4 linked regions of the Pelodiscus sinensis genome follow. The protein of the gene in region 1 binds, or shares a complex with, the protein of each later gene. Links are inferred from orthologs where the notes say so. Each region holds a gene or a part of one and is shown in the gene's direction. Other genes may lie near its edges. The genes, in order: SART1, LSM4, LSM6 and LSM7.

Evidence for each region.
Region 2: SART1 (region 1) and LSM4 share a complex: the UniProt entries of both Homo sapiens proteins name them as parts of the U4/U6-U5 tri-snRNP complex. The link is inferred for Pelodiscus sinensis from reciprocal best matches to the Homo sapiens genes SART1 and LSM4.
Region 3: SART1 (region 1) and LSM6 share a complex: the UniProt entries of both Homo sapiens proteins name them as parts of the U4/U6-U5 tri-snRNP complex. The link is inferred for Pelodiscus sinensis from reciprocal best matches to the Homo sapiens genes SART1 and LSM6.
Region 4: SART1 (region 1) and LSM7 share a complex: the UniProt entries of both Homo sapiens proteins name them as parts of the U4/U6-U5 tri-snRNP complex. The link is inferred for Pelodiscus sinensis from reciprocal best matches to the Homo sapiens genes SART1 and LSM7.

What each region holds. Positions count from the first base shown.
Region 1 is NC_134721.1:33,049,074-33,056,693, reverse strand, and holds the start of SART1 (U4/U6.U5 tri-snRNP-associated protein 1), read left to right. Parts: upstream 1-4,604; 5' UTR 4,605-4,666; coding exon 4,667-4,988; intron 4,989-7,588; coding exon 7,589-7,620. UniProt on the Homo sapiens protein: Plays a role in mRNA splicing as a component of the U4/U6-U5 tri-snRNP, one of the building blocks of the spliceosome. May also bind to DNA.
Region 2 is NC_134729.1:20,046,369-20,053,463, forward strand, and holds the start of LSM4 (U6 snRNA-associated Sm-like protein LSm4), read left to right. Parts: upstream 1-4,088; 5' UTR 4,089-4,268; coding exon 4,269-4,271; intron 4,272-5,748; coding exon 5,749-5,790; intron 5,791-7,095. UniProt on the Homo sapiens protein: Plays a role in pre-mRNA splicing as component of the U4/U6-U5 tri-snRNP complex that is involved in spliceosome assembly, and as component of the precatalytic spliceosome (spliceosome B complex).
Region 3 is NC_134715.1:51,640,586-51,648,288, forward strand, and holds the start of LSM6 (U6 snRNA-associated Sm-like protein LSm6), read left to right. Parts: upstream 1-4,696; 5' UTR 4,697-4,829; intron 4,830-5,062; exon of another isoform or gene 5,063-5,447; intron 5,448-7,703. UniProt on the Homo sapiens protein: Plays a role in pre-mRNA splicing as component of the U4/U6-U5 tri-snRNP complex that is involved in spliceosome assembly, and as component of the precatalytic spliceosome (spliceosome B complex).
Region 4 is NC_134729.1:26,010,760-26,018,169, reverse strand, and holds the start of LSM7 (U6 snRNA-associated Sm-like protein LSm7), read left to right. Parts: upstream 1-4,402; 5' UTR 4,403-4,491; coding exon 4,492-4,497; intron 4,498-5,132; coding exon 5,133-5,223; intron 5,224-7,410. Other genes in the region: SPPL2B (signal peptide peptidase-like 2B), read right to left, coding at 4,244-4,303. UniProt on the Homo sapiens protein: Plays a role in pre-mRNA splicing as component of the U4/U6-U5 tri-snRNP complex that is involved in spliceosome assembly, and as component of the precatalytic spliceosome (spliceosome B complex).

The sequences.
Region 1 (7,620 bases):
AATCAAGCGCGGGATATTTAAATCCCGGGCTTGATTTGCAACTTCGGTGTGCTTCATTTGCCTCCCTACTTCGAAGTAGGGGGCAAGTGCAGACATACCCTTTGTGTATAGATCTATTTATAAAGAAGAGAAGGGGTATGTCATTCAAATTATTCCCCACCTCTGTTGTGGTGTGAAGAAGAAATTATATAACTAACCCCCCAAGTACAATAGCATGTTCCCCTGTTACGAAGGCAGGACCTCAACAATAAGTTTGGCACAATATGAACTTATTACCAAAATGTCACTTTAGTATTAGTATTAGTATTAGTATTAGTATTAGTATTATTAAAGTGTCTAAAACACTGACTTTTCAACCTGTGATATGTGGGTCCCTGGGGTCCTCAGAGTGTGTCTAAGATTGCCAAAAGGGTCTGTGGCTGCATTTGAAAATGTTTAGAAGTCCACAAATGAAAAAAGGTTGAAAACCTCTACTCTAAAAAAATGACACTTAATTATGGTATTTCCTATAACAGAATTAATTCAGAATAAAACTGAGCATGATCTGGGTGTGGTGGCAGCAATATAAAGGGGTTTCTGAATGTCCCTTCTTGTCCACAATGTTATCAATCCCTGTGTACAGCTTCACTGATGTACTGGAGTCATTGAAGTTATTGAATTGGGAATAAGTGAATTTGGGATGATATTTCCTTTTAATAAACTTTCTCTCTGAAAATGACTGTCTGGTAAATATACACCAATCCAAGTTTACCATCATCTCAAAGGGCAAGATCATCTATCTGAGAAAAATCTCCTTTAGGAAAAATTTTCAGAATGGTATCAGTGTCACAGTCTCTCCCGCCACCATACTTTATGAAAATTTGCTTATGAGAATACATAACTCAAAGATAGGGTTGCCAGGTGTCCAGTTTTGAACCAGACAGTCCAGTATTTCACTTTCTGTCCGGGAAACAAATTGAGAAAATATTGGACATATAAATGTCTGGTATTTTCTAATTATGTTCTTATTATTATCATGAGTATCAGTACGTAGTTGCATACTGCCTAGCTGGTAGACATACTCATGCAGAACGCAACTATGCAGTAGAGAGGAGGGGGGCAGGGGTGGGATGGAATCCCCAGGGCCAGACTTGCCCGTGTGACCCGCCGAGACTGTGCGCAGGATGGGCAGCACCCTGGGATCTGCGTGTGCCTGGGCCAGCCCCACTCCCCGGCAGCCGGTTCCCAATCCTCCCATTCCCCCCTTCCCGGCCACCCCCGCTCCCCTCTCAGACGGTCCCTCCCCCCGATCTGAGATCAAGTATGTCTGGTATTTTTTTTAAACCATCTGGTAACCCTACTCAAAGATGTTTTATGCAAAATAAATAATGTGACATGTAATTTTAAAGTTTGTAATCCGCTGAAATTGTATATCCTATTTTTGGGTTTGTATCATTCTTGTATGTGGATCTGTTAATTCTAAATGTGTTAAAAAGGATCATTACTGATGCTCTGGAAACGTAATGACTCAGCTCTCAAACTAACGATCTGTGAATAGCCTTGTTTGTCCTGTGAGTCCAAACTATGGTTGATCCTAGACAGATATGTGGCCAGGACACTTGAGGCTGAAACCCATTTTGGATCTGGTACTTTTCCACTTAAGGTGAGAAAAGTTTGAATTGAGCACAAAGAATTCCTGCCTTGGGCAAAAGGAATATGGGCCAGGGCAAAGAATAGGGCAGTTGCCAGATGCCAGGAGACTCAGCAATTACCTAAGATGCCCGCTGGAAATATCTAGGACTGAACAGGGGGAAAGGATTGGGCCCATAATAGCAGGCTGCTTAGCTTGTGAAAGAAATGTTTAGATCAATTGTTTTAGGGTAAGAATTCACATGCAACACATTTCTTAGTATATCAGAATTAGCTGGGTTTTTTTTTATTTTAACTTTGTAACTAACTTTGATCTGTTTTCACTTGCAACCATTTAAATCTTACTATTTGTACTTAATTAAAAACATCTACGTTTATTACCAAGCCCAGTGTAAATAACTGTTACCTGGGGGATTGCAACTATATTCATATCTCTCTTTCATTGATAAAGTGGGCGGGCATCTTTACAAGTTTTCTCTGTGTAAAACTTTTACACAGGGGAAGACGAATTTGTTTGGGGTTTTGGTTCCTTTTGGGGGTTGGTTTTCTTGGTGCTAAGCCCTTATAACTGACTCTTCCCAGAGCTAAATTAGTTCAGTGTCAGTTTTGCTCTGCAGGGTGGGGCAGGAACCCCAATTCTGTGCCTTTTTTGGGGGAAACCAGAGCTTCTGGTCAAGCAAGACAGGGTGGTGAAGAGCCCCAGAAGGCAGGAAAGTGGGCATTATTGACATGATCAGCACACTAGGGGACAACCTCAAAGGGACGTCTGTAATCTAACCCATCACAATCAGATCTTGGTTTACTGGAGATATACACAATCCTTTTAATTTATTCCCAAGTCCAGAAATAATATTTTAGTTCAAGAATTTCTAACTATAAATCTGGAAGATAATTATCAACATCGGTGCACAAAACAGTGACAGGATTAGTAAAGAGATCCATAGTAGAGTTATCAATCCTAAAATTTTCTCAAACAGTGAAGAGTCACAGTGTAGCAAAAGGCAAATCCTTCTCTTGTACATATGTTAAGATGAAACACAATATTGATGAGGAAATCCAAGTCACTTATCTAGTCTTTGTCTTCAGTAAGTTTGTCATTGTCATTGTCATTGAGTTTATCCCTCTTTTCCAAAAAAGTTAGCACTGGCTTTCCATATCTCAGATTTTTTTGTGATCCTTTCCCTTTGACAGCCAATGAACATTCCAGTGGAGCACTAGCTCTTCCTGCAAAGCAATCCAGTGGGATATTTTGTGTTCATGGCTACATAGATTTATGCCAAATGCCACTCAAAATCAAACTTTTTTCATAGGGCTATAGTGTCACACAGTAACCCTATAGATTTAGACTCTTTTCCTTCTATAAACAAGAACGGGTTTTCCCAAGCCATGTTAAATTCTTTCCTTGCAACAGCATTGTCATAGATTTGTTTGGATGTGCTGGGCTTACTAAACAATACAGTTAAGTAGCTAGCTGTACAGAGTTCAAAGGCCTCACAGAACTATTATAAATCATGAGATGGATGAGATGGTTGGGCCTGGACTAAGGATGTTAAATATCAAGTAATTTACTAGTTGAGTAGTGGATGGAATTTTCATTGAATACTCCACTAGTTGATAGGCACTTCCACATTCCTCCTTTGAAATGTACAAGAGCCCCTGCTGGGGTACTCTGTGTGCAGCCTGGGGACAGCAGGAAGTCCCGCTGACTCTGGGCTGCACAAGGATATCAGCTTTAAAAATGCGCAAAAGTCCCCAGTGGAGGCTTTTGTGCATTTCAAAGCAGAAGCACCTGCATGGAGCCTAAGGTCAGCGGCAGACTCAGCGGTACGCCTAGAGGGCAGAGTTTTTCTGGGATACCAGAGGTATCCCAGAAAAGCTCTGCTGCATCCAAGCAATGCATCTGCTTTTAAAAAAAAATTTCAGAAAAGCAGATGCATTTTTTGGCATCCCTGTAAACCTGGTTCTGTGAGGAAGAAGGGATGTTCCAAAAGAGGCTTTTTTCCTGACATTTGGCCTGCTGTAGACGGGCCAATTTTCAGAAAAGCCTCTTTCTGAAGAAAAGTGGGAAGAAAAGTGCAATTTGAATATCTTTTGCTGTTAGAACTTGGTAGTGTAGACGCAGCTTCAGAGTCCACCACTGACCTCAGACTCCATGCTGCGCCACCTCTTTGAAATGCCATGCAGAGGCATGCCCCTCTGGCTGACCCCGAGCTTCATGCAAATGCCACCATGGTGCTTCAAAGGGGCAGTACTGCATGGAGCCCCGGGGCAGCTGTGTGCGACACTGCTTTAAAACGATGTGGCGTTTCAAAGGTGCAGTGCCGCACAGGTGAGCTTGGGATCAGCTGTGCAGTGCTGCCCCTTTGACAGAGCAGCACCGCACAGAGCCCATGTATGAGCCCTGTGCAGCATTGTCACTTTGAAGTGTCCACCCCTTTCTTCCTCCCCCCCTTTGCTGCCTCTGTCAAGGGGAGGGGGAGGGAATTAACTAGTCGACTGGACTATCTGATAGGCATTTGCTTATCAGAGAGTCAACTAGTCCTTAACATCCTTAGCCTGGACTCCATGGGAGCTAAAGGCCTTTATTTATTGGGGTTTTAAAAATTCTTTGACACTGGGATGCCTGCCACACCCTGCAATGTCTGCCAAGGGCAGCTAGAGCCACAGAGCGTCCGCCCCGCGTGATGTAACGAGGTAGAGAAATATGTGTCCTCCCCCTCCACTGGTAACTGCACATCCCAGTTGCCTGGGGGCAAAGACGAACTAGGGGACAACTTCAGCCAAACAGGAAACACACCCTCTTGACACGGAGGTAATAGCCTTGTAAACAGGAAGTGACGTACAAGTATACGGGCATTAGACAGGTCTGAACAGGAAGTAGCAACAAACGAGAAGTGACGTACATATAAACAGGAAGTAACCCATAAATTATCCGGAATTCGTGCGCAATGAGCCTGGACGAGCATGTAATGACCCGGAAGCACTGTAGCGCCGATCCCGGAAGTTTCGTGTTGCGTCGGTGCCATTTTGCGTCTCCATGGGCTCCTCGAAGAAGCACCGGGAGCGGGGAGAGACCGGGGGCTCTGAGGAGCAGCAGCCGCCGCCACCGCCGCCGCCCCCTGCTGCCTCCTCTTCCTCCTCCCGGCACCGGGAGCACAAGAAGCACAAGCACCGCAGCGGCGCGTCGGGCGAGCGGCGCGGGAAGCGCAGCCGGAGCCGCGGGGAGCGGAGCAGCCGGCGGAGCGGGGGAGAGGAGGCGGCCCGTGGCAGCCATGGCCGGGCCGGGGACAGGGGTGCCCAGGAAGCCGAGGGTCCCCGGCGGATCAAGCGGGAGAAGCGCGACGAGGGATACGAGGCGGGTCAGCGTCCGGGCAGGGGAATGGGGAGGCTATGGGACGAGCAGCCCGAGAGATTGAGACGCTTTTGAGGGGAGGACACCGGGATTCTGGGAAAGGGCCCAAAGGGAAGAAGTGTGGGGTAGAGGAGGAGGCAGCCATTGAGGGGCTATTGATGGCCGAGAGAGGATGGGCTGTCAGTGAGTGTCCGAGAGAGAGGAATTTGCGTGGGGGTGCTCTCGGGTTCAGCAGGCGATTATGGGAGTTAAAGATTGGCGTGTGACTATGGGGCTTGAAGAAGCGTTATGGTCAAGGCTCTGCGGCCCAGGGAGGGGATTGGTGTGGTAATGAGCTCAGGAATGAGTAGAGTAGTAGGCTTGGCGAGAGGTGCTCTGGGATGGCAAGTGTCTGGAGGTGTGAAGGTGGCTATGAGAGTTTGGATTGGCTGTGAGGTTTTATGGCGGGGACTGGCTGCTGGGGAGATGTTATGGAGGTCACGTTTTGGGAATGGGATAGGTGGGGGATCAGTGCATGTGCACCCTATGTCGTGACACTGAGGCATGAGCTTTAGGAGGGCAGGGGGCATGACTTCGTTGGGGGGTATTGATGAGGCATTCTAATCTGTGATGGTTTAGTGTTGGGCATGTGAAGTTTCATGAGATGGAGGAGGAGGAGTCATCAGGGGCTGTCCTGGTGGAGGTGGGGCATGAGGTTTAGGGAAAATGTAGACTTGCTGACTTAAGGGGTGGTGAGGTGAGTTTGCAGAAGGAAGAGGAGTGAAAGAGTAAAGCAAGGAGTGTGAACATGCACATACGTGTAACTTTTCATAAATGGGTTATGAAAGGATTTTGGAGCAGATGAAGTCAGGACACGTCAAGGCTGTGTCTACACTGGGCCGCTTATTCCGGAAAATCAGCCGCTTTTCCGGAATAAGCTGCGAGCTGTCTACACTGGCCCTTGAATTTCCAGAAAAGCAACGACGCTCTACTGTAAAAAATCAGCTGCTATTCCGGAAAAACTATTCTGTTCCCGCACGGGCATAAGTCCTTATTCCGGAACACTGTTCCAGAAAAGGGCCAGTGTAGACAGCCCAGTAGTCTTTTCCAGAAAAAAGCCCCGATCGCGAAAATGGCGATTGGGGCTCTTTTCCGGAAAAGCGCGTCTACATTGGCCACAGACGCTTTTCTGGAAAAAGGGCTTTTCTGGAAAAGCAGCCTGCCAATGTAGACGCTCCTTTTCTGGAAAAACTGAAAACGGAATAGTATTCCGTTTTAAGCAGTTCTGGAAATTCATGCCAGTGTAGACACAGCCCTAATGTAAAGGGGCTTCTTTGGTTGGTTATGGAGCATCTATGTATAAAGTGCCCTGAAAAGGTGTCTTAATCCATAACTCTAAGCAATAACTGTAATGACCTATGATTTGGATAGACCTTTTTTCTGGCAGTATCGGTTTAGTACATCCTGTTTTACGGTACCATATTCTGTTGTCATGGTATCTAGCCACTGACCTTTGATGCTCCAGAATAGTGCAAGCTATTCAACAGAATAACAGCTTGGTTCCCTCTGTGGGGATCTTTATTCCAGGTAATGGGCAGTACTATAGGAGACATGCTGAATTTTCAGGTTACTGTAAAGTGTGTCTGTCTTCACAGCATTGTTCATTATAAAAAGTGTATATGTCTGAGCTGGGTGGGGTCTTTGGTAAATGCTATGCAGGAGGTCACACTAGTTGATCAGAGTGGACTAGGGATGTCAACGTATAGTCAACTATATGATTAACCGATAAGCCTAGACTTATTGGTTAATCCTGTCAACTGCACACATTTTCCCCTCCCCCTTGCTGCCTCTGTATCTAAGGAGCTGATACAGAGCGGGAGCTGATAGAGGCAGCAGTGAGGTGGGGTGGGCTAGAGCTGATGTGCATAGGGAGCCAGCTTTCCAGCCAGCTCCCTGCACCTATCGGCTCTATGTACTTGCCTCCTACAGAGGTAGGGGGAAGTAGGGCAGGCAGGAGCCAGTGCTGGGAGGAGCCAGCAAGTCCCCCCCCCCCCCCCGCCCCGCTTATCAGAGGCAGCAGCGCAGGGGGTGGGGCAGGGGAGGCTTCCTCAAAGCAGCCTCTGTTTCTGGCAGGCTGAGCTCCCGGTGAACAGAGGCTGTTCCACATCCCATGGAGCAGCCTCTGTCTGTGGTGAGCCTGGACCTGCCACGGGCAAAGGTTGCTTTGCGGAAGCAGCCCGTCTGCAGGGGATCCATCCCACAGAGCAGCTTCTGTCTGTGAGGAGCTTGGACTCCCCATGGGCAGGGATGCTGCTGCCCCACACTGCTGCCTCTGCATTAGGGCAGCAGGCAGCTGGTTCACAAGAGGAGCTGGTACAGAAGCAAGACCTTGGGATGGCAGAGGCCTCCCTGGGAGTGGGTCTGGGAGTGCACTGGCTGCTGGCCCCAACCCTGGGGACTGTTGAATAGTCATGTAATCACTAACATTTCATGCCGTTACGTGACTATTTAATTGCAGGATAGCTAACATCCCTAGAGTGAACCCTTCTGGCTTTAACAAAATCCTTGTTTGAATACATTTTACTTTTATCTTGTTTACAAACATCTCTCTGATTTATCTCTAAACAGCTGCTAGCTCAAAGGCCAGCTTGGGGGATGCT
Region 2 (7,095 bases), on another chromosome or scaffold:
AGTGCTGAGCTGAGTACCAAAAATGGAGTTCACCACATGGCCTCTTTATACATCCTTCCTGGTCTCTTCTTGGCTGCAGCAGGTCACCTGGCCAGTGGCCCATCCCTGTGTTCCCTGCTGGCAGCCCTTCGGTGTCAGCCCTCATTCTTTAGGTGTGTCCTTGGCCCATTGAGTGCCATTGTCCCACAGGGCCTCGCTAATTAGCATGTCCATAGGCCGGGCTCTGCCCAATGCTCAACCACATGCAGAGAAATATTCAGTATCCACACAGATTACAGATTCCTAACAACACACAGACATTATACAATCACATGACTAGCGTACATAGGATTAGCAGACAGTAAGCTTCTATTCAACACCCCACATGGGCCCCTTTTATACCATTTTTGGGGCCAACATCCCCACCTATGGGTGCAGCAGTGATCTGGCTGCTTCCCTCAAATTCAGTAACGTGACATAGGGGAAACTTACACCTGGTCTGGTTTGCTAAATCTCTTTGAAAGGAAGAAAGTAGTTCTCTTCCCTTATAGGCTGGTGGGAAGGAAGGGAACATCTGTGTCAGTGAGTCAGAACCCATTTAATCATTTAACTACAGGCTCAACACCTGAAAACCAGGTGGGAGATGTGTTTTGGGTGAACCATCCTGTTGGCTTCTGGGAAGTGGGTGGGCACAAACTTGCCATGGCTAAAGGACTCTCCTCTAGCCTAACAGGGAGGATACAGTGAGCCTGGGACTCAGTTAAATATGGGGGACAACAAAATTAAAAACAAGGTCAGTCATGGAGGGTCAAAGGTAGGGAACCTGGAGATACCAAGCAGAGAACCCTGGCCAGCACCACTTCCCTTTTAACCTATTAAGGGAGTCAGCAGCTGCCATCCGGAAGAATTCTGCCTGGAAACGTGTGCAGAGAGTGGATTGGAAATGAGCCGCACTATAGCAAAGAATCCCTTCAGCTAACATCCTCTTTCTGGTGTTCTAGATGGCCACTTTGACTATCACCAGGAGGTGGTTGATAAGGAGGTTCCACCATTTTGTAGAGTGATGCAGAGGGGGTGCATATGTGAGAAGGTTGGGGTAGAAATACAGCCAAAAATGCAAAAGTATTGCATAAGCAGGAAAAGGGGGTGCAGCCTGGCATGCTCAAGGTAGGTATGTGCCAGGGTCTCTCTCACTACATGGGGGATGGATAAACTATAGCTAGTTATAGAAGCCTAGCCATGAGTATAATAAAATAAACCGCAATTGAGATGTGGTTTAGTGCAATAATGGCATTTCATGATGACTAGTTTTGCCAGCAAAGTCTAGTTCTTGCCAAAGTCCTCTGTAATCTTTCTTGGTTGCTACAGTGAAAGTTTCATGATGGAGCAGTGGTAAACGTAATGTAACTTTGGCTAACCATGGAATGTCCCCTAGCCCCCTGATCAGTTTGCTTCAATGTTGGGTGTATTCCACAAGACTTTGATTCATAATATTTTTAAATAACAAGAACATTTGCCTTTTTATAAATGTTGCAGGTACTGAGCATTCTTAACTCCCATTAACTCAGCATTTTGCTTTATTAGGCTTTTAATATGCAACAGGAAAATCCACTTGTTTTCTTAATCAGATATTTGGCGTTTATCCATGAGTATTTATTAAGCTATAGTATAAACCTTTACAATTCCTTACTTGAAAGGAGACTTCCACTATACTGTTGTTAATTCTGAAGATGGACAATGTATCAGTTTCCATTTTACAAGTTTCCCAGATCACCTGCCCAACAAATACATATTTAAGGTGATGTAGTCTGTAGAAGTTTTTCAATTGTGACTCTTAGTTGGACATCATATTTTCCCAATTAAGTCTGTTTTGGTGAAGAGAAGAGGCCGTTAAATACTGAAGAATAATACAATAAGAAAAATAATATTTACTATATTTCATCCTTCATTTGACAGCATCTGTATTTTAATATATAGTCTTATAATTTCACACCTATTTAAGATGGTTAGACATTATAACATAACAGGTTGGTCTTGGGAACCACTGAGAGTGTCAAATCAGGGTGAATTGCTCAGAACCAGAAGTCTTCCCTATAAGGCACCAAACCAGTCACACAGATCACTTCAGCTGCCACTCTAGCCAGCAAGAAGTCTCACAAGCAACCCTGACATTCCAGCTTTACCTGTGCACCAGCCACCGCTACTTTATGCAGGTGAGAGATTAAACCCGATTTCATCAACTCCAAATAGGTTCTCCCAGTCCCAAAGAACCATCCACAATCCCAGGTCAATTTATACCTCAGATCTTACCCAAAAGAACACACTAGGTTTTCTTTAGAAAGTAAAATCTAAAGGTTTATTCATAAAAGAAAGGAAAGGTTGAGAGTAGGATTGTTAAAGCAAATACATTACATACATCAATCACCAAGTTCTTGATGCAGGCTCTTAGCAGAGATGTAACAAGCTGTCAGCTTAAAAGTCTCTGGAGAACATCCTATGTTATGATGGGTTCATGAATCCTTCCAAGCCCTCTGTCCTTGGCAAAAGTGCTCCTGGAGCAGAGAGCAGGAGTGAAGACAAGACGGAGGCACTCTCAAGATACTTTTATAACCTTGCCCATGAAGAGGGAACATCCATTGTTCTCCTGGCTGCTGGTTCTTCACAAGAAGTCTTCTGTTCCAACACTTTACTATAAATTTCCTTGCGCAAGAACGCGCATGCAGTGTAGACGCTCCACAAGTCTTTGCACAAGAACAGCCGTTCTTGAGCAAGAAGCCTGCAGTGTAGACGTAGCCAGGATGTATATGTATCTCTCAAAGAATTAAAGGGATGCTGTGCCTAGTTTTCACTGGTCCCTTTGCCATGGTTTTGGGGTAGAATTATTGACTTATTCATTAACCTAATCTAATGGTTTAAAACAAAAGAGAAACAGCCACTGGGGGGCATTGTTACTCTCCAATAGTTTCTGGATTTCTAGATTGTGAACCTGCTACTAAAATGCAGTGCTGTACGCATGGCTAATGTTCAAGGGAATGCGAGGAGAGGCAAGAGGAAGGCTGGACACTAGGAAGTTTAGGCCTCTGTTCTGCAATGAGCTCTGTGTAAGTGGGCTTGTACACCTGCTCAGAGCCCAGTTGCTAGCAGTGTTGTACTGCAAATGCGAGCATAGACTATATCTAGACTACTGAGTTTTTCCAGTGTACCAGAGGAACGTGTCTGCTTTTGGCGGAAGAGCAGACATGCTTTTGCGGAAGCCTGGTCTTCCTCATGCCACGAGGAAGAAGGGCTTTTCTGAAAGAGGAGGTTTTTCCGAAATTTGGCCCAGTGAAGACGGGCCAAATATCAGAAAAGCCTCTTCCGACAAATTTATTGGGAAAAGGGAGGCAAATTGCGGAGTACAATTTGTGCACCTTTTCCCAATAAAAAGCAGCAGTCTAGACATAACTATAGGCAGGACTGGAAGGACGAAAAGAAAAGAAGCACGAGATCAGAGGGAGAGAGGATTGACGTTTCTCATGGCTGCCAGAGATGGTTCATCACCATCACAGAGGAGCTACGGTTGACTGTCACAATTTTAACTGCTGTGTTGTTTCCAGCCGGGTTGCCAGGTGTCCGCTTTTGAACCGGACAGTCCAGTATTTGAGCGTTCAGTTTGGGAACCCAATTGAGACACTAGAAATGAGGAAATAGAAGTGTCCGGTATTTCCTAAATGAGATGCCATGTAGATTGGGATGGAATGTCAAGCGTGTCCCGTATTGTTTGACTTTCCATCTCCAAGCAGGGCTGGGCAATGAGGGGCTTAGACAAGGGGGGCAGCCAGGGATCTGTGCACAGCATGGGGCGAGCAGCAGGCCAATGGGCGCTGGCCTGAGCCTGACCAGTTTACTGGGGGGGACAGGGGGGTCTCAGAACAGCCAGGGAAGGGGGGGCTGCAAGAGGAGCTGTGCAGGGCACGTAGAGTCCAACAGAGGGCCATGGATAACAATGGGAGGGGGGCTCCTGGGAGCGCTGCAGGGGGATTGTGGGTAATGCAGCCTCCTAGGGGGCGCTGCGGGGCATTGTGTGGAACGCAGGCTCCAGGGCGGGGAGGATTGTGGGTAACGGGGGACGCCGCGCGCCGTTCTCTCTGTCGCGCCCGCCGGCCGCGTTTTACGGCACTGCCGTAAAACGGCGGCTGTCGCTTGGCGGCGGTGGCGGAAGGCGGGAGCCCGGCCCGGAGCAGCTCGGCAGGGGCGGTGCGCGTGGCGGGGCCCGCGGGGCCGCAGGCGGACGGGAGCCGAGCGGGAAGATGGTGAGTCGGTGGGGCGCGGGCCTTTCCATGCTACCGTAATGCACCTAAGAGCACGTGCGGCGCCCAGCCCGCGGATCCCGCTGCGGGCACTACCGTAATACGCCGAATAGCGCGCGCCGCCCCTCGCCTCGCTCCCTGACACGTGCGGAGCCGAGCACTGGGCAGCGCAGCGTGGGGGGGGGGGGGGGCGCCTTGCAGGTGGGGGCTGCTCCAGCTTTGCAGGTGGGGGCTGCCGGTGGTGTGGGGGGGCCTCCTCCCGCCCTGCCGTGGGGCGGGGAGCCGCTCCCTCCCCTTAATGCAATGGTTCCCAAACTTCGGCATCACGCCCCCTTTTTGATTTTTGAGAAACGCTCATGCCCCCATTCCCCCTCCCCCCCCAAATAGCAGCAAAACTTGTTGAGCAAAAAAAAAAAAAAAGTAAGAGGAACTGACCGGGGGGGGGGGCAAAAAAAACAAAAATAGCAGCACAACTTGGGGGAGGGGGGATTTCTTCACGCCCCCTGGTTTGGGATCCTATGCCTTAATGGGTGAACTGGCTGAATAATTACATTGCATTTCCCCTCCCTAGTTCCTGCTGGGTTTTGTCAGCGCTCAGTCTAATCTGAATGGCAGCAGCTCCTGGGCTGTATTCCCTGGGGAAGTGGCTCCGAAATGCAGTTGCCCTGTGTTTGGTAAATCTGTGGCTGAAATAATGCTTGTCTGCAAATAAGATACAGGACTATGTAGCACTTTAAAGACTAACAAGATGGTTTATTAGATGATGAGCTTTCGTGGGCCAGACCCACTTCCTCAGATCAAATAGTGGAAGAAAATAGTCACAACCCTATATACCAAAGGATACAATTTAAAAAAAATGAACACACATGAAAAGGACAAGTCACATTACAGAACAGAAGGAGGATGGGGGGGGGGGGGGGGGAAGGAAGGTGAATGCCAGTGAGTTAATGATATTAGAGGTGGGGAAAGGAAGATGTCTGTGAGTTAATAGTATTAGAGGTGATAATTGGGGAAGCTATATTTGTAATGTGTAAGATAGTTGGAGTCTTCATTACAAAGATAGCTTCCCCAATTATCACCTCTAATACTATTAACTCACAGACATCTTCCTTTCCCCACCTCTAATATCATTAACTCACTGGCATTCACCTTCCTTCCCCCCCCACATCCCTCTTCTGTTCTGTAATGTGACTTGTCCTTTTCATGTGTGTTCATTTTTTTTAAAATTGTATCCTTTGGTATATATGGTTGTGACTATTTTCTTCCACTATTTGATCTGAGGAAGTGGGTCTGGCCCACGAAAGCTCATCATCTAATAAACCATCTTGTTAGTCTTTAAAGTGCTACATAGGCCTGTATTTTGTTTCAGCTACACCAGACTAACACGGCTACATTTCTATCACTGTCTGCAAATAGGCTGCCTTTATCCTTTGTTCTGCTGACTTTTCTCAGGCTTATCCTTTATTTACTTTCACTCTAGCTTCCCTTGTCACTGTTGAAGACTGCCCAGAACCATCCGATGGTGAGTAACAAGGATATTTCCTGCCAGTACTGCTTGCAATCAGCGTCAGACACTTTGGGTTGTTGGGGTAGCTGCAGTCTCTTAAAAAACCACAAGGAATCCCGAGACACCTTAGGGACTAACAGATGTATCAGGGCATACGCTTTCATGGGTAAAATCCACTTCTTCAGATGAATTGAGTGGAAGTTACAGAATCATAGAACTGGAAGAGACCTCAGAAGGTCATCAAGTCTAGCCCCCGGCTCTAGGCAGGACCAATTCCAACTAAATCAACCTGGCCAGGGCTTTGTCAAGCCGAGACTTAAACACCTCTAGGGATGGAGACTCCACTACTTCCCTAGGGAACCCATTCCAGTGCTTCACCACCCTCCTAGTGAAATAGTTTTTCCAAATATCCAACCTGGACCTCTCCCACCACAGCTTCAGACCATTGCTCCTTGTTCTGTCATCTGTCACTACTGAGAACAGCCTCTCTCCATCCTCTTTGGAACCTCCCTTCAGGAAGTTGAAGGCTGCTATCAAATCCCCCCTCACTCTTTGCTTCTGCAGACTAAACAGACCCAAGTCCCTCAGCCTCTCCTCATAAGTCATATGCTCCAGCCCCCTTATCATTTTGGTTGCCCTCCGCTGGACCCTCTCTAATGCGTCCACATCATTTTGTAGTGGGGGGCCCAGAACTGGACACAATACTCCAGCTGCGGCCTCACCAAAGCCGAATAAAGGGGAATGATGACATCTCTGGATCTGCTGGCAATGCTCCTCCTAATGCAACCTAATATGCCATTAGCCTCCTTGGCTACAAGGGCACACGGTTGACTCATATCTAGCTTCTCAGCCACTGTAACCCCCAGGTCCTTTTCTGCAGAACTACTACTTAACCGGTTGGTCCCCAGCTTGTAACTATGCTTGGGATTCTTCCGTCCCAAGTGCAGGACTCTACACTTGTCCTTGTTGAACCTCATCAGATTTCTTGTGGCCCAATCCTCCAATTTGTCTAAGTCATTCTGTACCCTATCTCTGCCCTTAAGCGTATCTACCTCTCCCCCCAGCTTAGTGTCATCTGCAAACTTGCTGAGTGCAATCCATCCCCTCATCCAGATCATTAATAAAGATATTGAACAAAACCGGTCCTAGAACCGAACCTTGAAGCAGGGGTGTCTATATAAGGAAGAAGCTGCTTGTGTTAATGAAGCTAATTTAAATCAGGGTGCAAGTGGATCATTCACAGCATTTGGTGTGGAAATGTGACTATCCAGAGAGGGGAAATGGTCTTTGTAATGTGTTAACCGGTTGAGATCCTTATTC
Region 3 (7,703 bases), on another chromosome or scaffold:
AGGGGAGCGGGGATGGTCAGGAGAAGAAAGGAGAAGGCACCAAGGGACAGAGTGGAGGAGAGAGACAAATGCCAGGGGGCCAAGGGGAGACAATGAGGAAAAGGGCAGGAGGGGAAGTGTTAGTGAGAGGAGGGACAGGATGATGCTAGGAGAGGAGAGGGGAAGGGCTTTGGGGGGCTACAGGGGAGAAGGGGAGGTGCCGGGAGAAGGCTTGAAAGAAGGGGTGGGCATGAGGAAGGCAGGGATGGAGCAAGGCATGTGTGAGGGCACAGGGGAATGAGGGAATTGGGGGCAGAGGGTGGTGAGAGGGTGGGCATCAGGGAAAAAGGGGGCAGGGGCAGAGAGGGAAGGGGGAGGCACAGAGGGGTACAGGGGTAAGGGAAAGTGCAGGTGCCAGGGGATGCTGGGGGTGAAGCAGAAAGGCAGACACCTGCAGGGGAGGGACCAGCACCAGAGGAGAGAGGTAGGGCAGGTGTGTAGTGGGAGGTGTTAGGAGAGGGGATGAGGAGGGGTAGCTCACATGATCAGCGTGGGGCTACTGGAGGAGTGGGCACAGGGGGGAGAGAAGGGCTGGTAGAGGGGGGTAGGTCTCAGGAAGGCTGAGGTCAGTGAGAAGGGCAGGAGTCAGAACAGCAGAAGTGGGTGAGGGGTTGGGGGGGGGGCAGCAGGCACCAGGGGAGCTGATGGAGCAAGGGGAGGAGATATGGCAGGAGAGGAAAGGACAGAGGTTTATAAGATACTTATTAATAACTTGGGTGCCTCAGTGGTACATCCAAACAAGCCACAAACTCAGTACTGGTGCACAATTTATTGTGCTCATGGGAGGAAACTCTTAGAGGGGACACTTTCCCCAGCCTCTCCACCCCCCAAGTTAATGTCACACACATTGGGTTAAAGGAATTGCAGTCTAGTTGCATGGAGGGTGGGGTGGGGTGGGGTGGGGTGGTGAGGGCCAAACTAATCCCTATTGGTAAGAGGATGGTGGGAAAAGTCCTTGTGGGGGAGGGAGGTCACACAACACCTTTTATTTCTGGTCATGTGTCCAAATTGCCCCAAAAGTATTACCCCCAGAGGCGTGGCTAATGGGGGTCAGGGGATGTGGCTAATGGGTGCCCGGCATGAGTGGCCCCGCCCCTGGGTGCCTGGCAGCCCCAAAAGGTTGGGGGATCCCTGATCTACATGGTGCTTCGTCCTGCCAACCTGCTCTTAAATATCTCCAGTGATGAAGATTTCACAACATCTCTAAGCAATGTATTCCAAGTGCTTAACCACCCTGACAGCTAGCAAGTTTTTCCTAATGTCCAACCTAAACCTTGCTGTCATTTAAGTTTCTTGTCCTATCATCAGATGTTTTAGGGGAATATTTTTTCTCCCTCCTCCTTGTAACACATTTAGGTACTTGAAAGCTGTTACAGTGTCTTGTCTTTTCTGAACTAAACAAACCAAATTATTTCAGACTTCCCTCATAGGTCATGTTTTGTGGACCTTTAATGGTTTTATTGCTCTTCCCTGGACCTTCTCCAATTTATACATGTCTTTCCCGAAAGATGGTGCCCAAAACCAGACACAATATTCCAGTTGAGGCCTAATCAGTGCAGAGTAGAGTAGAAGAATTACTTCTTGTGTCTTGCTCACAACACTCCTGTTAATGCATCCCAGAATTATGTTTGCTTTTTATGCAACAAAGTTACACTTTTGACTCATAATTAGCTTGTGGTCCACTATCACCCCTAGATTCTATTCTGCAAGAATTTATGGATGGTCCCTCCAAGAGAAGCTTGAGGAACATTTGGAGACTTGATATGAGGAAACTTGCATGCGGCTGTACACATTATATGAAGAGAGGAAACAAATTACCATTGTTGTCAATCAAAAATGTTTCCTAGGCATAGCAATCACTTACAAAATACTGAAAATAAACACAAGTGGAATTGTTATATGCTAGTAAAGTTCATATTATGCACTGTCAAATGTGTCATGCAAATAGAGGGTTAGTTTTCAGTACCAGCTATAAACAAGTGTGTGCAATAAGTGAGAGCAGTGGTTTTTAAACTATGGATTAAGATCCTATACTGGGTCACACAATGTCAGGCACTGAGTCACCATGCTGTGGTGGGTAACCCAGTGATTAGTGTTCCTGCCTGACCTGGCATTGTGGATCATCAAGCAGCCAGCAGCAGGTGTGTCTCCTAGCAGGAATGGGGAGAGGCTTCATGCACTCCCCCACCCTGAGCACTGGTTCCACACTCCCACTGGTCATTTTCAGAGTTGCTTGTGTGCCTCTGCCTAGGAACCAGACCTGTTGATGGTGGCTTCCGGGGCAATGCGTGGTCTGCAGTGCCAGGAGAGGCAGGAAGCTTGCCTTAGCATCTCCACTGTGCCGCTGTCTAGGAGCTGCTGGAGGTAAGCCCATGCCTCACCATGAGCATCAACCCCCTGTCCCAACTCTGAGGCTTCCCTGAACCAGGAGCCCCCCTCATGCATCCCAGATCCCTCATTCCGGCCCTGCCCCCCCCTCCCCCCACTCCCAGAGCGCACATTCTAGTCAAAAGATATAATTATGTTGGATCACAAACATCAAAAATTTTCTTCAACTGGGTCATGAGAAAAAAAAGTTTGAAAACCACTGAGTTAGAGCATGGCTGAATGGCATTCATACCATGTAATATGCCACTACTCCTTCTTCATAGACTTGACTGGTTCTTAGAGAGAAACAAGACCAAAGAGTCGGTGTATTTGAAAGTTTGGACTATTAACCCTTTAAATGATATTATTGTTGGAAAAGAGAAGGCCAAGGAGAACTTTTCAGGTAGCTCTAAAATAGGGTTACCATATATCTGGTTTTTCCTGGACATGTCCTCCTTTTTGGTCCTTAAATCTCCATCTGGCCGTGTTTTTTAAATATCTAAAAATGTCCGGGATTTTGCCTTGCTCATTCTTTTTCAAACACCTCCTGCCCTGAGTGTTGCCATTGAGCTGGGAGCCCAGAGCCCCGCAGAGGAACCCGCCTTGGGGAGTGAGGGGGAAGCAGGAACCCCCCCTGGAGTTCCCTTCCACAGGACTTCTCCCCTGCCATGGACCCCGCTTCCCTGAGCCCCGTGCTCCCCATCTGACCTGGCCCCTCTGCATGACCCTCCCCGAGTGATCCTGGCTTCGCCCCTGACACACCCAACTCCTCATTAGTCACCGCAGCCACCATGAGCAGACATCCCAAACCCTTACTCATAATCTGACCCTCCCAACTACTGACACCTCACTTTTCCTGACTGCCCTCAGGCCCGACCCCTCCCTACACGTGACTGATCCCTTCTGACATCCCCTCAACTCACCTGTCCCGATTCCTGCATTCTTCCAGTCCACTTCTCTTTGAATCTACCCCCAAAAGCCCCTTTCCAAACATTGCTCTTCAAGTCCACCTCAGACTGGCCCAGCTAGTCCCCCATGCCTTCCTTCAGCCTGATTCCATTCAGCATTTCCTCTAATCCAGACTTCCTTCCTCTCTCCTTAAATACCAAATAATCCTTAAACCCATGTTCTCCCAAATTTGACTGTATCTGTTCCAAAACCCGGATCCGGGCTTTAACAGCCCTAACAACCTATGTACCAAGTCACTTAACTGGCCCTCCTTCCGAAAATCAGTAACAACCCCCTCTCCTTGTAGAATCTGATGTAGTGATTATTTTCCTGGGTGACTGAAGAAAGTTTTGCTGCTATTGCTTCCTCATTTTACTTTTTTTGCCTGAAGATTCTTCTGTATGGCATTTAGAATGAAAGGATGTTTTGGATGTTTGTTTCCACCTTATGGATACTGCATAAACAAAGGGGAAATGCCCTAGAGCAGCGGTTCCCAAACTTTTCCAGATGGGGACCCATTTTGATAATTCAGGAAGACGTGGTGACCCAAGGCAATTCAAAAACGAAGGGATGAAGGGAGGCAGAGCCACCTGGGGAGACACTTGGCGACCCGTTTGAAATGTAATGGTGACCCATATTTGGGTCGCAACCAGTAGATTGGGGAACCCTGCCCTAGAGGAACTGAGTTCCACCTAATTGAGGAAAACCATTATTTGCCAGATTGCTAATTTCCTTGGACTGCTAAAAAGGAACACGAGACTAACACAAAGTTTACATCCAAATTCAGAGAGGATTGAAAGGGGCTGAAAAAGAAGCCTTCCACAAAAATCTAAACTTGGAATTTCCATTGTTTTCCTTTTGACCTGGGAAGGATCGCTTCATAGTCCCTGCCTTGCAAGTCATAAACTAAGTTTTGTGGAATTCATAACTAGAGAATTAAAGTAGTAGAATGACCTCTTGTGTGGATCCCAAGATTAAACAGGCGGGGGGGGGGGGGGGGAGGAGGGACATCAGAAAGGACTCGTGAGGTAATGGATTTGGAATTTGCTTTTCACTTTTTTCTTTTCTATACTCACTGTTACACGTTGTATTAATATAGGGACTTGGTAGATACTGATGCACTGTCCCTCAGGAGTGTCCTCTTTTTGGAAAGTTCAACTATGGTAACCCTACTCTACAATTAAGTGTATTGCAACAAAACATATAGGACACACAAGCAGCCAGAATGTCAGAACACCAGACCTGTGCTAGGAGGGACTGATCATGTGGCCCTGTCACTAGGATCCAGGAGACAAAGGCGATGCAGGAGAGGAGGACACGGGGGTCACGTGCCCCCAGCCGATGTCTGCCCGCTCGAGGCAGGCTTAGTGCGGGTGACCTCCCTGCCCTCGGGCCAGGGCGAATGGAGGAGTCGCGGTTCTGACGGCGGCCGGCCTGTGGCTCCAAGGCCCCGCGCTCAGCCGGAGCCACGGCGGGTTAGTGCTGCGCAGGCAGCTGTGCGGAGCCGCGGACCCCCCATTTGCTGGGGCAAGAGGCCCAGGCAGCGGGCAAACCAGCGGGGCTGCCCCGGGACCCCGCCCCTGGCAGGCGGCGCCGTCTGCGGCCTCCCGCAGCCTGCAGGGGCGGGGCCACAGAGAGGGGGCGGGGCCCTGCCCCCTCCCCGCTGCCGCTGCTCCTCCCCGCTAGGAGGCGCCCAGGGCAGGGGGGGGGGGCGCAGAGGAGCCCTAGTCTCGCAGCGCCTGAGCCTACGTCACGTGCCCCCTGCGCATCTCACCGCAGCCCAGGCGCCAGCACCGAGCACGTGGGACACCCCGGGCTGGGTTCCCGCTAGGACGCGGGCGGGGCGCTGCCGCAGGGACTTGGCAGGGGAGGCCGACGGGTAAAACACCCGCCAGCCCCGAGGAGGCACCGTTCCCCAGCCCCTGGCCAAGCGCGCGCTCCGTCTGCTGGGTGTTTTGGCTCAGCCGGCTGACCGTAGCGGAGCCGGAAGTCCGGGAGCGGGCGTTGATTGGCTGGGAGCGCTGCCCGTCCCGCGCTCGGGACCTGGCCGATTGAGGGGCCGCCAGCGGACAGGGCGCGGGTGAGCGAACGAGGTGGGCGCGCCGGAGCTCGGGCCAGCCAGGGGCCCTGTGTCCGCTCGGGCGTCACGCGCAGCCGGGGAGCGGCTCTCCTGTCCCGGGGGGGGGGTTGCCGGCTGCCGCGAGGCGAGTGCGGCTCCGCCCCGGGCCCTGCCCCAGGGTGGCCGCGCAGCCGCGGGGGTTGGGAGTCAGGTCTCCGCGAGGGGGGTGGGAGGCTGCGAGCCCGGGAGCGGAGCCGGCGCTGATTGGGCAGCGGCCCCGCGTCCGAAGCGCGGCGCTGCCGAGGTGCCGCTGTGTCTGGTGGCGGCGTTTGGCTTGGCACAGCCCCGCTGCCGCCCCCCCCCCCCCCCGAGCAGGGCGGGCAGTGGAGCCGGGACTCGCCCCTCGGCTGAAGGCCCCGCGGAGGCGGCTCTGTGGGCATCTGGTTCTTAGCTGTCGCGGTGCCAGCCTGCGGCCGGGATGTTTGCACATGGGCTTTGGCTGGGGTTTGTCTACACGCTGCGCCTACAGTCAGTGTAACTCCTGCTAGAAGTGACAATGCGGGAAGTCCCATTAAAATCTGCAGCGCCATTGCTGATCGGGAATATCCTCAACCGGAGACGAAAACCTAACCCAGTACCTGTGACTGTTAATCTGATGCAGTGGTTCTCATGAACCCTCCCTCCTGGCCGGACACTGCACTCATCCTTGTTCCTGCACCCTCCAGATGACCCTGTCTCCAGCCTGCACCTGCACCCTACCTCTCACTGAGCCCCTCATCTCCTCCTGCATCCCCATCCCTCTCCTTCGCAGCTCCTTCCCACACAGTGGACCTGTCATTTTTGGCCCCATCCCAGGGCCTAGGAGGACTCACAAAATCTACTAACGCTAGAATAGTTATTCTGGAGAGTGGGGAGCTCTGAACCTTGGTCCTCCCTGCCTTCCCCCCTCCGCCCCCCGGGGGCTGGAGCACCTGGGAAGTGAGGTGTCTTAGTTGGGGGCCACATCAATAAGGATTGGGGGCCACTTATGCTATAGCTCCAATAGCCTAATATGAATAATTTAGTATTTAAAGTATTTAGAAATAAACATAGGCATTTTGTCATCATGAGTGGTTGGCTGGTGGTATACAAAAAGATTTTCATTGAGCGGGGTAGGCTATGAGCCAAAAAGTTTGAAGACCACTGATCTAATGCAAAATTGTTTCCTAGGCAATATTCTCAGAAACATTTAAAATCTCTTAATCTGTGGGTTCTTTGCTGCTTCCTTTGTGATACTTTAGATAACACTGTATAATAGCAACAAGCTTAGTTTGATCTTTATCTTATTTATATATCACAAAAGGTTTGTTTGATGCTGACCAATACACACATCTAAAGATTGTTCCTAAGCCAAATCACTTTCCATTTTCCTTATTTCATCCTGTAGTTACTAGTTATATCTCTTAGAACAACCATAAGCAAAAACTTCCTTCTGCTTTTTACACTCAAGACTTCTTGTAGAGTGTTATATTCCTCAATCATAATTTAGCCAAACTATATACTTAATTCAGAGGGGTAGCCATGTTAATCTGTAACAGTAAAAACAACGAGCAGTCCTGTGGCATTTTAGGTCGTGAGCTTTCATGATGAAGTGGGTTTTACCCACAAAAACTCATGACCTAATAAATTTGTTAGTCTCTAAGGTACCATAAGACGGCTTTGTTGTTTTTAATAGTTAATTCAGTGTCTCTGGCCTTTCACTCACTTTGCTGCTCTTGTCTAAGTTGTCTCTGATTTATCAACATTTTTCCAGTTTTGAGGTGTCTGGAAGTGGATGTGGTAGTTTATGCAGGGTCTTACCAGTAGAGCTATGATTTTGTCACGTATGTTTTTAATATTTTTTTGCGGCAGAGGTACAAGGAAAAAATTTACGGAAAGAAGAGACTGGGAGACTATAGATGGGTGGTCTGTGGAAAGCAAGCCTACTTTACACTGACCATGCAGGGGTGCTTCATTTCATGTGGTTCTGGGCCTGGCTTCCTGCTCCAGGAATTGTGATCTGTACATGGTGTTACATTACCACTCAGATTTTGTGCATCCTTACTCCTCTATAGAAGTGTGGCTGGGCCAAACTTGAGTGGTGGTGAAATGCAGTGCAAGGGATCGCAACATCTGAAGCTGGGAACTGAGCTCGTGGTCACCTCTGCATTTCTTTTGGAATTTTGGATTTCCAGTTAACTCTCCCATTGGGTTTACAATGCTCTGCCCCCCATTACTAGGAGAATATTAATTAATATTTTATGGAAAGTTA
Region 4 (7,410 bases), on another chromosome or scaffold:
AGATTGAAACCTCCAACAGGTTTCTGTATGTTCCCTCTACATATATCTGATTTGTGTCCATTGATTCTTTCCCATAGGGACTATCCAGTTTGTCCAATATATATAGCAGTGGGGCACTGCTGGCATTTAATGGCATAGATCAAATTACTGGATGTGCAGTTAAATGAGCCTGTGATTTGGTAGCTTATGTTGTTGGCTCCAGTGATGAATTGCTTGTATAGATACGTGGGCAGAGTTGGCACCACGGCTGATTGCAGGGCTGGGTTCCTGGATAATTATGATGTGGTTGTGTAGCATAGTGACCGGAAAGAATTCGTTTCAGGTTGGGGGGTGGTCTATAAGCAAGAATAGGCTTTTCCTCAGTTAGCAGTGCATCAGAGGGAAAGTGTTAGGAGGACTGGGTGCTTGTTTGGAACTGAAGTTGCAACCACCAGGAATTTCTTGAGTGTGAGTTTGAAGGATTGTTCCTGCCAGAATCCATGTTAGAATTGCAGGTTATTCTGTTAAGTTCAATAGCATGCACGTGGATTCTGTTTAGGGATGTAAGCATAAGCGTATTGTATAGTCAAGTAGTGACTTGATTAGTTACTCCCCCACACCGCTGCCTCTATCAGAGGCAGCAAGGATGGGGAGCAGGAGCCGGGGGGAAGTCGGCTTAATAGCTGGTTTTCCCCAGCACCATCTCTGCAGGGAGCAGGGGAGGCAGAGGCACAGCGTGGGACCAGGGACAAGTCTGGTGGGTCTTAATACATTTAAAAGACAGAGCCAACAACAGGGTTAGTTCTGCAGTTTCCCCCCTTATCGACTAGTAGATTCAATGCAATTTAACATCCCTAGTTCTGTTATTTTTAAATGTTCTCTCTAGAATGCTTTTCACCTTAGGACTAAAGTAGGCTTGCACGGGTAGCGTGGTGGAGGGTAACATTTGTTGCAATTACACTTGTCCTTGAGCACACCTGTCTGTCCTAGAAAATACACAGGGAAGACAAGAAACTAAGCAGCCTGGAAATATTCCAGTCACAAAGGAGAGAGAAACAAGGATCTCTACCGAGAAAGGCAACAGCTGGGGAGCTGGATGCTTGAGAATGGGTACTTGCTGGACCACTGAGGGGAAATACAGGCCAGAAGCCAGTCAATAGGATTGCACTGGGGGCGAAAGCAGTTCCTAAATCCTTCCCCCTCCGGGCTCAGGTTTTAAAGTAAAATCACCCCACAGCCGTATTTCTGAGCAACATGCGGGTGAGGTGAGGCAAAAGAAAAAGATGGGTGGTGGTGGTTGGGGACTCCCTCCTAAGAGGGACTGAGTCATCCATCTGCCATCCTCTCTCACAGAACTGGAAGGGATCTTGAGAGGTCATTGAGTCCAATCCCCTACCCTCATGGCAGGACCAAGTACCATCCCTGACAGATTTGTCCCAGATCCCTAAATGTCCCCCTCAAGGATTAAACTCACAACCACGGGTTTAGCAGGCCAAGGCTCAAAACACTCAGCTATTCCTCCCCCCACTATAGAAAGGATGTGGACGCACTGGAGAAGGTCTAGCAGAGAGTGACCAAAATGATTAGGGGGCTAGAGTGCACGACCTATGAGGAGAGACTGAGGGATTTGGGTTTGTTTGGGCTGCAGAAGAGAAGAGTGAGAGGAGATTTGATAGCAGACTTCAACTTCCTGAATGGAGGTTCCAAAGCGGATGGAGAGATGCTGTTCTCAGTAGTGACAGATGGCAGAACAAGGAGCAATGGTCTCAAGTTACAGTGGGAGAGGTCTAGGTTGGATATTAGGGAAGACTATTTCACTAGGAGGGCTGTGAAGCACTGGAATGGGTTATCTAGGGAGGTGGTGGAATCTCTATCCCTAGAGGTTTTTAAGTCTCAACTTGACAAATCCCTGGCTGGGTTGATTTAGTCCTGCTTTGGGCAGGGGGTTGGACTCGATGACCTCTGAGGTCTCTTCCAGCTCTATGATTCTATAAGCGGGAAGCCTGCCTCAGGCTCCCCGCAGCACCTGCAGGCTCTATTTTGCCCAGACTTGTCTGAGTACAAGACAAGAGACAACAAATGGTTACAGACAGGTGGTAGGTGAATACAAGAAAACAGAGAAAATAAAATAAGAACATAAGACCAGCCATACTGGGTCAGACCAAAGATCCATCTAGCCTGGTATCCTGTCTGCAGACAGTGGCCAATGCCAGATGCTCCAGGAGTAAACACAACAGGTGATCATCACACGATCCCTCTCCTGTCATCCATTTCCAGATAGAGGCTAGGGACACCTTTCCTACTCATCTTGGCTCATAGCCATTGATGGACCTAACCTCCATGAACTTACTGAGCTCTTGTTTGAACCCCATTAAAGTCCTAATCTTCACAAAATCCTCTGGCAAGGAGTTCCACAGGTTGATTGTGCACTGAGTAAAGAAAAACTTCCTTTTGTTGTTTTAAACCTGCTACCTATTAATTTCATTTGGTGACCCCTAGTTCTTCTATAATAGGAACAATTAAATAACTTTTCCTTATTTACTTTTTCCACACCAGGCATGATTTCATAGACCTCTATAATAACCCCCTTTAGTCTCCTCTTTCCTAAGCTGAAAAGTCCAAGTCTCTTTAATCTCTCTTCATATGGGACCCATTCCAAACCCCTAATCTTTTTTTCCCCCTTTTCTGAACCTCTTCCAATGCCAGGATATCTTTTTTGAGATGAGGTGACCACATCCATATGCAGTATTCAAGATGTGGGCATACCGTGGATTTATATAAGGGCAATAACATATTCTCTGTCTTATTCTCTATCCCTTTTTTAATGATTCCTAACATCCTGTTTGCTTTTTTGACTGCTACTGCACATTGCGTGGATGTTTCTAGAGAACTATCTACAATGACTCCAAGATCTTTCTCTTGAGTAGCTGTAGCTAAATTAGTCCCCAACATATTATACGTATATTTGGGATTATTTTTTCCAATGTGCATTACTTTACATTCATCAACATTAAATTTCATGTGCCATTTTGTTGCCCAGACACTTAGTTTGGTGAGATCTTTTTGAAGCTCTTCACAGTCTGCTTTGGTCTTAATTAACTTGCAGATGATACTAAATTGCTCAAGATTTCCCACCTCACTGTTAATCCTTTTCTCCAGATCATGTATAAATAAGTTGAATAGGATTGGTCCCAGGACACACCCCTAGGGGACACCACTAGTTACCTAAGCAGTGGTCTCAACACATCAGCAACATAACCATTGGCAAGTTTATTTTTTGTAGGCACCACAGCAAAGGAGTATTTTTAAGGGGGTTTTGTAGGAGAATAATAAGTTTGTTGTGCAGATTTTTTGGGGAAAGTCCTTCCGAACATGAGGGGTAACATGAGAGAAAGCAAGCTGGTGCCTGTTAGAAAATTTAACAAAGACTGAGAATTTCAGGACACATGATAACATCAAGAAAAAATGTCCACTTGGCGCTTATGCACGATTAAGTATTCTGATCCACACCCCCTTTTCTGCAGAGTATACTGGTAAAGACTCCTATGAATGGGAAGAGAAAGCTGTTTTCAGGAACTATGAGGAAGTCACAGTTTTGTCAATGCTAAATGGTATGTCCTATACTACAAATCGAAACGGACATATCAAGTCAGCTTACAGTGATGGTGCACGTCCATACCACCCTCCTTGAGCCAGTGGCATATGCCCTAATCAGGAGTGCTTCCACCAGCCTAGGAGGGGCAGTGTGGGGAGCTGGGAGCCCAGTCTCTCAGCCCCACTGACAGCTCCCTGCCAAGGCTGTTGGGCTCCCAGCAGTGGCTCTGCCTCCCAGCTGAGAGAAGGGCCCAAAGCGGCCCCAGCTTCCGATCCGGGCTCCCAGCCACGAGCCCCCCAGGGAAGCCGGGGCCTTTCTTGTCCGTTTGCAACGAAAGCAGCAAGACCGCCCCAAACCCTGCGTCTGGGCCAACACCAGCCCCACGCCGGCGGGCGGAGGAGTCTTCACTTCGGCCTAGCGGGGCATGTGCGGACTGGGGGAGCACTAGGGCGCGGGCGCAGCGGTGGAGTCCAGCCCCGGGAAATGCCAGCGCAGGCGGCCGGCTGCCGGGCACGTCGCTTCCCTCGGGCTGCAGCGACTAGCGGGGCCGCGCTCTCCCCAGCACGGCCCGGGCCCGCACCTCCAAGGCCGCGCTCGCTCGCCGAGCGGGGCCCGGGGCCGGGCACGTCGGAGCGGGCGGGGCGGGGCCCAGGCCCGCGGGGGACTCACCTGGCTGACCAGCAGCAACAGCAGCCCGGGCCGGACCCGGCTCGCCAGCGCCGCCACCATCCCGCCGCCGCCCCTATTGTCCCGGAGCAGGGCCCGTTACCCAGCAACCCGGCCCCTCCGCCCGGAAGTCCCGCCTCTGCGAGGGGGCGCAGCGGCCAATCAGAGGGCAGGGCCGTGACCCCCCCCCCCCTCCTCCGGAAGTGGCGGGGTGAAAGCGCAAAAGGGCGGGGGAGCTTGGCACGCGCAAGATGGCGGTGAGTTTCGGGCCTGGCGGTCAGCGCCGGGGCCCTGGCGCGAGCCTTTGGCTCAGGACCGGAAGCGGGGAGGGGGAGCGGGAACGGGCCCCCCCCCCCGGACCGAGCGTGCGGGGGGGGCTCCGCTTGGAGACGGGTTTTACTGGGCCAGGCCCCCCCCGGCTGTTGTGCGGTTCGCGGGGGGGCTTCTCTCGCACCCCGGGTTGGGGGGGGGGGGCTTTTGGCGTCCTGCCTTGACTCCCGAGCGTTCCTGTGCGCCCCCCCCCCCCGTGCCTCTGCCAGGCCTGGGTGCTCCCTCGCCCCCTCTGTTCCCCTGGGGGCCGCCTGCACCCCCTCCCCGCCCCGCCCCTCCAGCCACCTTTGATTTGACGGGCCTGGCTAATGAAGCTGCATCCTGCGAGGCCTTTGGGCCATCTAGATCCAAACAAAGGTCGTTTATGGGGATGCTCAGCTTCTCTGGCTAATCCGTCATTTGAAGGCACCTCTAGGCGATGCTGACTCCCACGCTTGTAATTAAGCAGGGCATTCTGGCACTGTCTGTCTAACGCTTAATCATGTATTATTAATTATTAAACATGGAACCAAGAGAGGATTCCAATTTACTTTTTAGTTATGTCACTCTGCCTTTTCTTTAGGATAAAGAGAAGAAAAAGAAAGAGAGCATCTTGGATCTCTCAAAGTATATTGACAAAACGATTCGAGTAAAATTCCAAGGTGGTAGGGAAGGTAGGTTTTAAATTAAATGATGCGGGTTTGCAAATCATAATTCATTGGCAACATAATGAATCCCACAGCTGTAATCCTAACTGCTTTTTGTCTCCTAAATTCCTCCCATGTACTCCAGTAACACCAATGCATCCTGTGATCTCCCTGCTGGTCACTCTTATTACTTCCCTCCCCCCTCCTCCCCTATTCTTCTACTTAACCCCTGACTCTCTTCTGGTTCTCTTGCCTCACCAAGCAAATATCAGTTTCTTCCATCTTAAAAATATCACTCTTGTCTCCACTTGCTTCTCCAGTGACTGCTCTGTTTCTCTTCTGTCCCTCTCTAAGCTCATTGAATGCCTGTCTGCAATTGCTGCCTGAAGTTCCTCTCCAGTTCAATCCAAGACTCTCCAGTCAGGCTTCCACCCCTTCCACTCAGTCCAAATTGCTCTCTCCAAAATCTCTAATGGATTTTTCCTAGCCAAAGCTCACATCTGGTACTCTGTCCTCTTGCTCCTTAACTTTACCCACTACCTTGGGCACAGTTGACCATGTTTGTTTGGGTTTTTTTTAAGTCCTTGTGCTCTTCTGGTTCTCCTTCCACCTCTCTAATTGCTCCTTCGTGTCCATTGGGTGATCTTCATTCCTACCCCCCAGTAGGGGAGGGAGGATTTCTAAAGGGCTGTCTTTTTGGTCCCTTTCTTGTCTCCCAAAACAGTTTATCTCTGAATTGTCTCATTTGCAAACACAAATTCAGCTACTTTCTCTATGATGACTCTGAGATCTACCTCTCTACTTTCAGAGTGGTAGCCATGTTAGTCTGGATCTGCAAAAGCGACAAGGAGTCCTGTAGCACCTTATAGACTAACAGATGTATTGGGGCAAAGCTTTTGTGGGCAAAGACCCACTTCATCAGATGCATGTAGTGGAAATATCCAGAGGCAGGTATAAATATGCAGGCCAGAATCAGGCTAGAGATAATGAGGATAATCTCTGATCCAGAGATGTCATTATTCCCCTTTATTCGGCTTTGGTGAGGCCACATCTGGAGTACTGTGTCCAGTTCTGGGCCCCCCACTACAAAAAGGATGCGGACGCATTGGAGAGGGTCCAGCGGAGGGCAACCAAAATGATTAGGGGTCTGGAGCATATGACCTACGAGGAGAGGCTGAGGGACTTGGGTCTGTTTAGTCTGCAGAAGCGAAGAGTGAGGGGGGACTTGATAGCAGCCTTCAACTTCCTGAAGGGAGGTTCCAAAGAGGATGGAGAGAGGCTGTTCTCAGTAGTGACAGATGGCAAAACAAGGTGCAATGGTCTCAAGTTGTGGTGGGAGAGGTCCAGATTGGATATTAGGAAAAACTATTTTACTAGGAGGGTAGTGAAGCATTGGAATGGGTTACCTAGGGAAGTAGTGGAGTCTCCATCCCTAGAGGTGTTTAAGTCTCGGCTTGACAAAGCCCTGGCCGGGTTGATTTAGATGGGATTGGTCCTGCCTAGAGCGGAGGGCTGGACTTGACGACCTTCTGAGGTCTCTTCCAGTTCTATGATTCTATGATAAGGGGATGGTTGGATGAAATAACATGATCTTGGTAACTAATTGACCATTCATTATAGGGAACTTTCTGGGTGTCTGGCTGGTGAGTCTTACCCACATGCTCAGGGTTTAGCTGATTGCCATATTTGGGGTCAGGAAGGAATTTTCCTCCAGGGTAGATTGGCAGAGGCCCTGGAGGTTTTTCGCCTTCCTCTGTAGCATTGGGCACAGATCACAGCTGAAGGACTCTCTGCATGTTGGGGCCTTCAAAGTATTTGAAGGCTTCAATATCTGAGACATAGGTGAGAGGATTATTCTAAGAGGGGTGGGCGAGATTCTGTGGCCTGCACTGTGCAGGGGGTCAGACTAGATGATCATAATGGTCCCTTCTGACCTTAAAGTCTATGAGTCTATGAGATTAATTCAATCTAGCTATATACATCGGCCATACTGGACAGTCCCTACATAAAAGAATAAATGGACACAAATCAGATATTAGGAATGGCAGTATACAAAAACCTGTAGGAGAACACTTCAGTCTCCCTGGACACACAATAGTAGATCTAAAGGTAGCCATCCTGCAGCAAAAAACCTTCAAGATCAGCCTTCAAAGAGAAACTGCTGAGCTACAGTTCATCTGCAAGTTTGACACCATCAGCTCAGGATTAAATAAA